2 linked regions of the Drosophila melanogaster genome follow. The protein of the gene in region 2 interacts with the protein of the main gene of each other region in a pairwise test. Each region holds a gene or a part of one and is shown on either strand. Other genes may lie near its edges. The genes, in order: SkpF and ntc.

Region 1 (3,477 bases), on a different chromosome or scaffold from region 2:
GACTGGACACCTCCGAGGTCACCATGGACGACGGCTATCCGCCGGATGCGCAAGTCGATGACAAGACCAAGCAGCTGGTCATTGGCGATGTGGAGGAGGATTCCGGCGACAACATGGAGTCCAACCAGTTTACCGCCGACGTGATTAACGCGCGGGACAGCAAGATCGATCTGGTGTCCAAGTTCCTGCAGTATATCGAGCAGCAGCATCTGATGGGCTCCAACTGCGTGGCTGGTACTTCGCTCAATCTGGGCGAGGGCGTGGTCGACCGGTATGCTCAGGACAGGTTCCGGGTGGAGGCCGAGGTGGCCGTCAATCGCGCCAATATGCTGACCAGGTGAGTGGATGTCACGGACAAAGTTTTCCGAGTTACTCAGCCCACATCATATTCACATGCCAAACTTTTCCAATCGAAAGTTTTCGGCCAGACGGTTGGCGAATGCAAGTGAAAATGGAAATGGAAATGGAATCCGTACTGAACAATTGCGGTCAAGAAAGTAGTGTGCTTTCCCTGAAGGTCATTCGAGGGTCAAGATACATATGAAGGATATTTATGTGATATTTTGTGAGCATAGGTAAGGATGTCGAGTTACATTCTAATCCGGAACAGGCATCAATCCTTCGAAAATGTTCACTTCGAATTTATATAATTTCGCCGTACTCTATCGCCTCGTCCTCCTGCGGGACTTCCGACTCCATCGTCATCAAATCCTCCTCGGAGGGCGAGAAATCGTTGGTTATGTGAAAGGTCTGGCGAATCTCCTCCGTCGTGCGGCCTTTAATCATGTTGGCCACCGTCATGCAGGCGGCGTTCAGCAGATTGGGAATGTCCAGGTAGTTGGCCGCCAAGATGAGTTCGAAGAGCGTGCCCTGATCCATGGACAGGAACTCGGCGTCCCAGGGGGTGATCTGCACAGCGACGGACTTGGCCGCTTCCTCTTCGTTCTCCTCTGCAATGTCCTCGCGATGATGCTTGGCCCAAATGAGGACCTTCTTCAGGATCGTCGAGTTCACATTGGGCAGCGGGATAAGAGTGTCGTTCTCCGCTTCCACTGGACAATCCTCCAATAGGGTCTTAATGGTGCTCGAGCACTTGGCAGTCTCGATGTCGGTCTCGAAAATTTCGCCATCGGAGGACTGCAATTTGATGACTGGCATGGTCCGTTTTCGCCCACAAAGGGTTTTCCTTTAAGGTTATCTGGTACAGTTCAACTTTTCAAGAAAATCTGTCAGTGCCAACTTGACAGTTAAAAATTAAACAGAACAGATTCGTAATGGAAACAAATTGGTGATTCATCAAATTCAAACAAATGTCCATGGAATGGAGATAGCATTTATTAACAATTTAGACAACATTTTTATTTCAATATAACGAGCAAAATCGATTAGATATTGGCAGAAATACACAATTTTAGTTTCATAACATATTTATTGTTGTATAAGTAATAGTTGATTGCCGCTTACAATGGTATTTACCATGTTCTACACAATGGACATTTCAATTGCAGCACAATTTATTGCTGTTTGTTATAACAGAAAAATATGAAATATTTAGGGCCCATTTCGAATACGGAAATAAAAACAAAACCAGGGATTTGGCCTCCATTTTCCCTTTTCAATTCACCATCGCTCATTGCTCGGGGTTCACTTTGCAGCAGATACTCGCCATTTTCTGCTCATCTAGATTGGCCCGTGTCCTTTGTCAACAAGGAGCATAATGTGCTTTTCTTGTTGCGGTGGCTCTCGTCGCTTGTTGGCCATAGTTGGCAGAACTACCATCGCTTTCCCTGCGATTTTCCTTCGATTTTTCCGTCCGCCTGGCTGCGTGCAATTTTTTGATAAAAGTTCAATTACTTAGCGTGGCAGGCGTGCCGAGCAAAAAGTTTGCACCATTCTTGTGGCCAAAACGGAAGGCCAGCTGGCGGAGGACATTGATTTACCTGGACAACCAAAGCGATGGCAATTCATTTGGTTTTTCTTGGAATTTCCAGCTGTCCAGGCTGGCCAAACGGAGCAAGCTGACCAATCTGATGTGTGTGCTCATTGTTTACTCGTGTCCATTCCGCTTCCATCATCGATTTGGCAGTGTATCGTGTATCAGGATAACCGCCCCAGTGACAATCCCAAGGACATGCCAGCCCAGCTCCCATGTTTTCTGAGCTCTTCTTTTCTTCGGCAGCTCTCTCTCTCTCTGTTCAGCAGCCAGGCACAATAAACACAAAGTTTCTTCAGATTTCGCATATCTGGGTATGAAGTCCGAGCACCAAAGTTACGGACTCCAAAGTCCTGTGTGTTCCAATGTCCAAAGTCCAAAGTCCAAGTGTACGAATGTCCTTGCCTGCATGCACGCATCGTATGTGTCAATGCCGATGGGGATGTGCTCCGTGCAGACATTAGACCTGGAATTTATGTCCTTCTGTTTTTCTTGAGTGTCTTTGTGGCAAATAGCAATAGAGAAATCAGCAAAAAAGCAAACTTTTTCTGAGCCAAAACGAGGGCAACGTGGGTGTGTGGCTGGCTTCGTGCAACAGGCCATTGGATATCGTCCAACCGTCGATGGTCACCAAATTCCGATGACATAATTTTCCAGCTTAGATGACAACTTTTTGTGCGCTGATTGAGCCAGGAAATCAAAGCCATTTGTTAACGAAAAACTCATTTGTTAAAAGCCGCACAGAAAGGACGACAGGACTACAAGCTGATGAATCCAAGGAACGATTGCCGCTTGTCAATAAAACGCACAAATAAACAATTAACCCAAACGACTAGCAGCTCGACAAATTAAGTGACAGAGGGGAAAGGTCGGTCGATAGCGAGGAAAGGCGGGAAAAGGAGAGAAAAATGGGAAATGCGGACAATGTCGTAACTTGGCCTGGGGAGCAATAAAATGTCAAAGACTCACTGTCAATAAATTAAATTGCAAACGGCCACGGATCTGGCACGGGATCAACATTATTGCATTTAGTGTCATATGCCAGGCATTTGTTTTCATTATTTGTTCAGCGGGGAATGTGGCCTCTGGGACTGAACTCCACTTCCTTGATTTATCCAGCTCGACATCCATAAATCCAATGGATTGCCCAGATACTGGTTCATAATTGCAGGAGGGATGGCGGCTAATCAGGACCCGTATTAATCAGTTTTCCTTGTGTTAACATAATCAAGGATGGCCGGAAACTTTTCCTTCAGCGGAAAAAGGGAAACTCGAAGGAGGAAAGCAAAGGGAAATCACAGGGAAAGCGCTACACAGATAGATACTAATTGAAGTTATTGTTTTGTGATACATTGTTATCGCCCTGCCAGCAAGGGATCCTGTTCCGTGTTGCCGCTCGCTTTTTGGTTTGGGCATTTCCCGTTTACTTTGTTGCGCAAACAAAAACAAGGATAACATTTAAGGAAAACAACGGGCGGCAGGAGCAGAAGGTGAGCCCAGGGGGCGGGCTAAATGGCAGTCAGGAAAAACAATATCAATTCAAG
Region 2 (5,003 bases):
CCGCCATAAGCTTGTTGGCCTCATCCCGGTGTCCGAAATATATGGCCAAGTCGAAGAGGAATCTTGAGATCCAAGGCGCCAAGGGAAGAGCCAGCATAAGTTGACTGAAATCCCTTTGGAACTGATCCGTATTGAGCAGCTGCCAGCACTGGGCGGCGTGTAGGAAGGCCTTGGATAACTCTGGACTTATGGCCGTGGTCAGGGAGAATTTCGGTGGCTCCATGCTGGGCACTTCGGAGCCATCACCTTCCGGCGACCATTCCATGAATCCTTCTACCAAAACATGAGTTACATCGGCATCCTCGATCCTCAGCTTACAATTTCGTATATAACCATGAAGGGAGTAAATGAACAAGGTGGTGGCGTAGAACAAAACCTGGGAGCTGCCCGCAGGACTGCCGGAAAGTATGTCCACCAGCTTTTCCCAGTAGACGTTCTGGTTGACATGCTTGCTGAAGGGCAGGAAGGGCTCCCAGCCCATCATCTGACCGCAGATCATCAGCACTTTAAAGATGTTCTTCCAGGCATCTGCTGTATCCGATTCATCCATTATTTGCCGCAAATAAAACTCCAAGGAACTGGTATAAAGTCTGCAGGCCAGATTTGGCGAAAGTTCCGGGGGCTTATTCTGGATCATGGGCAATACCTCCTCCACCAGAATCCGCTGATAGAGATCCGGTTCGGTTTTCATGCCCTCCGCCAGCATTTCCAGTAGCCTGGGAGCCTGAGTTATGGCTGATTTGGGAAACTTGTTGAACATCAGTATGTAGATATAGATGCGCTCCAGATTATCGGCACTGTGGTTGATGGTGTGCATGAATATGTTGTGCTGTACTTCCGGAGTTAGGTGCTTGTACATTTTTACATAGAACTCGTGTTCCGGCGTAGTTTCATTCTCATTTCTGAGGGCATTTGTTAGGGAGTTGATCTCCTGCCACAGCTCCGTATGTTGATTCTGGAAATTGGTGGCTCTGGAACAGTAAAAGATAAAGTAACTGGAATAGATGTGCTATTGTATACTCACATAGCACTGAAACACTTTGCTGCCTCCTCATAATTCTGAGCATCGCGTTCCAGTAGATAAGCCTCGTATTGCAGGTTGAATGCATTGGGATATAAAGTTTTAGCTGTGATAATCCAGGCCATGGCCGCGCAAGGATCGCTTTTCCGGAGTCTTTGCGCCTCCTTGACCATGTACAACTCATTTTCCTCTTGGCTCGGCATGTTTCTTCGGGTATATCTTTTGTTTTTATTAATTTTCTCCTAGTTTCAACAAAAACAAACCATTTAGCCGGCTATTAGGAATTTATTTACTAGCACTGGCCATATTTTTCTATTAGGGATGGGAACTATTGGATCTAGAAACTAGCTAGAGATTTCAATTATTTTCAAAACGCTTGTTTAGCATAGTGCGCTTGTTTTAGTTACATTAGGGCTGGCGTTATTGAGTCATTTCAACCTAAAACGCTTTTTATATCAATATATGTTCGGTGAATTCGAAGATATTTAATTTTCAGCTTGAATATAGCTAGCTTAACAAGCGACTCTCTCCTCATCTGCAATCGATAACAGCAGCGGCAGTAGTGTTGCATAGTAGCTGCCAGCCAGCTGATTATTCGCTAAATAACCAATTGTTTTTTCGCGAATTTTTCAATTTTCTGTGATTTTTGCGGCTACAAAATCGAAAACTATATTAAGCAAAATACATACGAACCTGGCAATTGCGACTGCTTATGTAATATCTGTGACAAACCAAGTTTTCTAGAAAATACCTGCCGATGCGTCGTTGCGCTTTGTTTTTGTTGCGTGAATAAGAATCGTTGGATATTTGTACATTCGCAATTTGTTGTAAATATGTTTAAATCTTAAGTGCCACAGCTTATCAACGAAGTAATATAATTGCGATTCCCTCCTTTTGTTAATCAGTCCCACTATATAGCACTAAATATAAAAATTGAGTGCACAAATCGCAGTATGCCCCATTTTCTGATTGTCATTCCGAAAACAAACAATGACAGTCGCATTGAAAGTTTAAATCAAATCGTTTCCCAGAAAATTCGTACGTAAATATCTGAAATGTCAGACACTAAATCCGAAATTGAGGGCTTTATAGCCATTCCCACGACATCGGGCGAACAACAACAACAACAGCCGCAACAGCAGCAAAATGAGCAACAAGTGGTCGGCACAAAGGACATTAAAGCTCCTGATCAGGGTAAGTTGTGTAATATTTATAGAAACTTACTAACTTACTTAAGAGCGCTCTATGTAATTGATAAATGGCCTGCAAATAACAATCGTTCATTAGTATCTTATCATATTCTATATCGTAAAATAATCTTAAAAAATACGATTATTGTATATATTAATATTTAGTTGAGAGTATCACTGATATCTAGAAGTTATTCATAATCTATAATAGAAATCATTATTTAATACATATCACTTAACAATAGATACTCATAAATCATGATAAACAAGACAACGTACACTAATTCATGCATTATGCTAATAACAATCTGCTCATTCTATAGATATTTTTTTAACAAATTTATTTGTACCTGTTTCTATTGTTAGTTTATAGAGCAATGTGTTTTTCATCCACGAATTATGCATATCTATTTACTCATACCTTGAATCACTTAACTTGAATGAAGTTCCTTAGACTTTCATTCCAAGATCGGCGACTCTCTTCGATGAATCATCAAGTTAACCCCTTCGAATAAAAGTAACATAAATTCCGAAAAACCTGTTTGATTATTTTGTAAATTGCTTCAAAAATGTGACGTTATATTTATTGTAATAATAGCCGTTTTAATTGTTCAGTTCCAACTTGTTTAACCTAGTGTCTTATCAAATATATTATGTAAACACAAAATAATTCTAAGTTTGATTAATTTTACAATTTATTTTAAAGCAAATTGAGTAGTGAATTAAATATTTATGTCGTGTTAGACATAATTTTATTTACAATTTCTTTCGTGATTTGTTTTTGAATGCAAGTGTTAATTTACTTAATTTATTTAAAGTTCTACATCAGTCTTAAAGTCTTAACGGGAGTTTTGAGTTTACTTCTGTGTTCTATATTTTGTAGTGTCAAAATGTATTGTATATAACTACCGGTTTGAGTTGTTGCTTCCGAAATCCGCACATAGCAGGTTTGTTTCTGCAATTTTCAATCTTCTCCTAACCAACCAACAGCACAGACAATTTCACTAATCATATCCTCGAGATTCTGTTTAAATATAAATACAAATAAAACTCGTTGCAGTGGGGAAAAAGCAGCGACCACGTTTGATACAAGAGAAGAGCACCCAGGAGACAAATCCGTTGATCCTGGAGCATGCTACTCTGGAATGGGTGCCGCAGCATATGGATAAGCTACTGAATCAGTATCAGGAATGTCGCAAAATGCCGGCTGCCGAGTGGCTTCATTTGTTGACTTACCTGGTGGCCCTGGAATGCGGATTTGTGGAGGAGGAGACATTTGCCCAGAAGAGACACCTCATTCAACCCGTACCATCATTTAGCAGCTTTCACGCCCAGAATGTGCGAATCCTGAGCGAACAACCAGCTAGATATGAAGTGTGCTTCAATGACACCGTCTATATAATGCGACTGAGAACACTATTGGACAAGCATGCTCCCGAGGAGACTTCTCTGGTGGCTGCCCTTCAGTGCCGGCTGATGGCCGTCAGCCTGGGGGATCAGCTTATGATCACCCTGTCCCCAGCACCTCCGTCGAAGGAGCCTGGCTACAGCGTCAGCCTGTCTATCGGACGCTATGTACTGAATATTCAGGCGAAGAACAAGCCCATCTACCATCGCTTTCGGAAGCTGGATGAACTCTCATATCAGCTGAAACAGCACTTGTTCCAGCCCATGCGATCGCAGCAACTAATGCAGATGGAGATGAAGCTACAGCCCTCGCTATTGGGCCTCCCGGACGAATTGTACTTCGAGATCTTCAGATATCTGGACAAAAGCCAGCTAAATGTGGTGGCCAGGGTCAATAGACATCTTCATTTCTACAGCAAGGAAGTGGAGCGAAAAAGGCTAAAGGGCGGCAGAAGCTAAGCTCTTGTTTTAATCGAAGCCGGTTTAAGCGATTTTATAAATATTATTATATTAATAAATTATTAAGTGGTGCATAAAGATTCTCGGGAATCATTGTATGTCAATAAATATATTTGCTTATTCAAGTAAATGCCTTGTTAAGAGCTGAAATACAACACGTCTCTTTATATTCTCTGAAATGTTTTAAATATTAAGACGGATTTTTACAATAAACTATCCTCAAAGATAAAGGGAATATTCCTTGCTTTATTTGGTGGAAGGCATGGATTTTTTCAATTGAAAAGGTAAATTCGAGAAAGTGATTCAATTAATTAAGCACTTCAGTTTTCAGATAGATTTTAAGTAACAGGGGAAGGTGTTTTAAATTACTGAAGCTTCTTATGTTTTGTTTTTTTACATATGTTTTAGTAAGAGTAAGAGTAAGAGTAATACCATATATTTGTGTTTAAATTATCCTTTAAATTGTGTCCTTATTGCATGCATTTATACGACCCGCTCCATCAGCAAGGACAATTGTGGATCCTCCGACGCCCTCGGCTGAGTCCTGCAACTCCTTCGATATCTTTGAGCCACCTGCCACGCCCCTGGATTCCATTAGCCTCAAGAGCAGTGCCAGTAGTTACCTCTACGATCGTGATATTACAGGTGAGTTGCGTCCACGTGTCCGCGCCACCTGTTCGTCGGCATTTCACCCCCCCCCCCTCCGCCCTTTATGACCGAAAAGAGGGGTACACGCCCCTAAACGAGTCGGCCCTCAACCACAGAAGTGCAGAATGCGAAACAAGCTGCTCCAGCAGCCAAAAACACGCGCCGAGATTGTCGCATCCACAATTCCCAGTGCCCCCAAAAAACCCCAAGCCCCCATTCGCCATTCCATCTTCGTCGGCTTCGAATCTCCAACCTCACAAGCCCACTTCGATTTTTTA

The links.
Region 1: the proteins of ntc (region 2) and SkpF interact in a two-hybrid assay, tested with the Drosophila melanogaster proteins (one large-scale study listed by BioGRID).

The regions. Positions count from the first base shown.
Region 1 is NT_033778.4:23,457,529-23,461,005, forward strand, and holds SkpF (SKP1-related F), read right to left. Parts: upstream 1,232-3,477; 5' UTR 1,159-1,231; coding exon 643-1,158; 3' UTR 537-642; downstream 1-536. Other genes in the region: CG43795 (uncharacterized protein), read left to right, coding at 1-337.
Region 2 is NT_037436.4:3,803,033-3,808,035, reverse strand, and holds ntc (nutcracker), read left to right. Parts: upstream 1-1,576; 5' UTR 1,577-2,076; coding exon 2,077-2,215; intron 2,216-3,271; coding exon 3,272-4,077; 3' UTR 4,078-4,204; downstream 4,205-5,003. Other genes in the region: IntS10 (integrator 10), read right to left, coding at 1-971, 1,025-1,224. UniProt on the Drosophila melanogaster protein: Functions together with PI31 to control non-apoptotic caspase activation during sperm individualization. Positively regulates PI31 stability.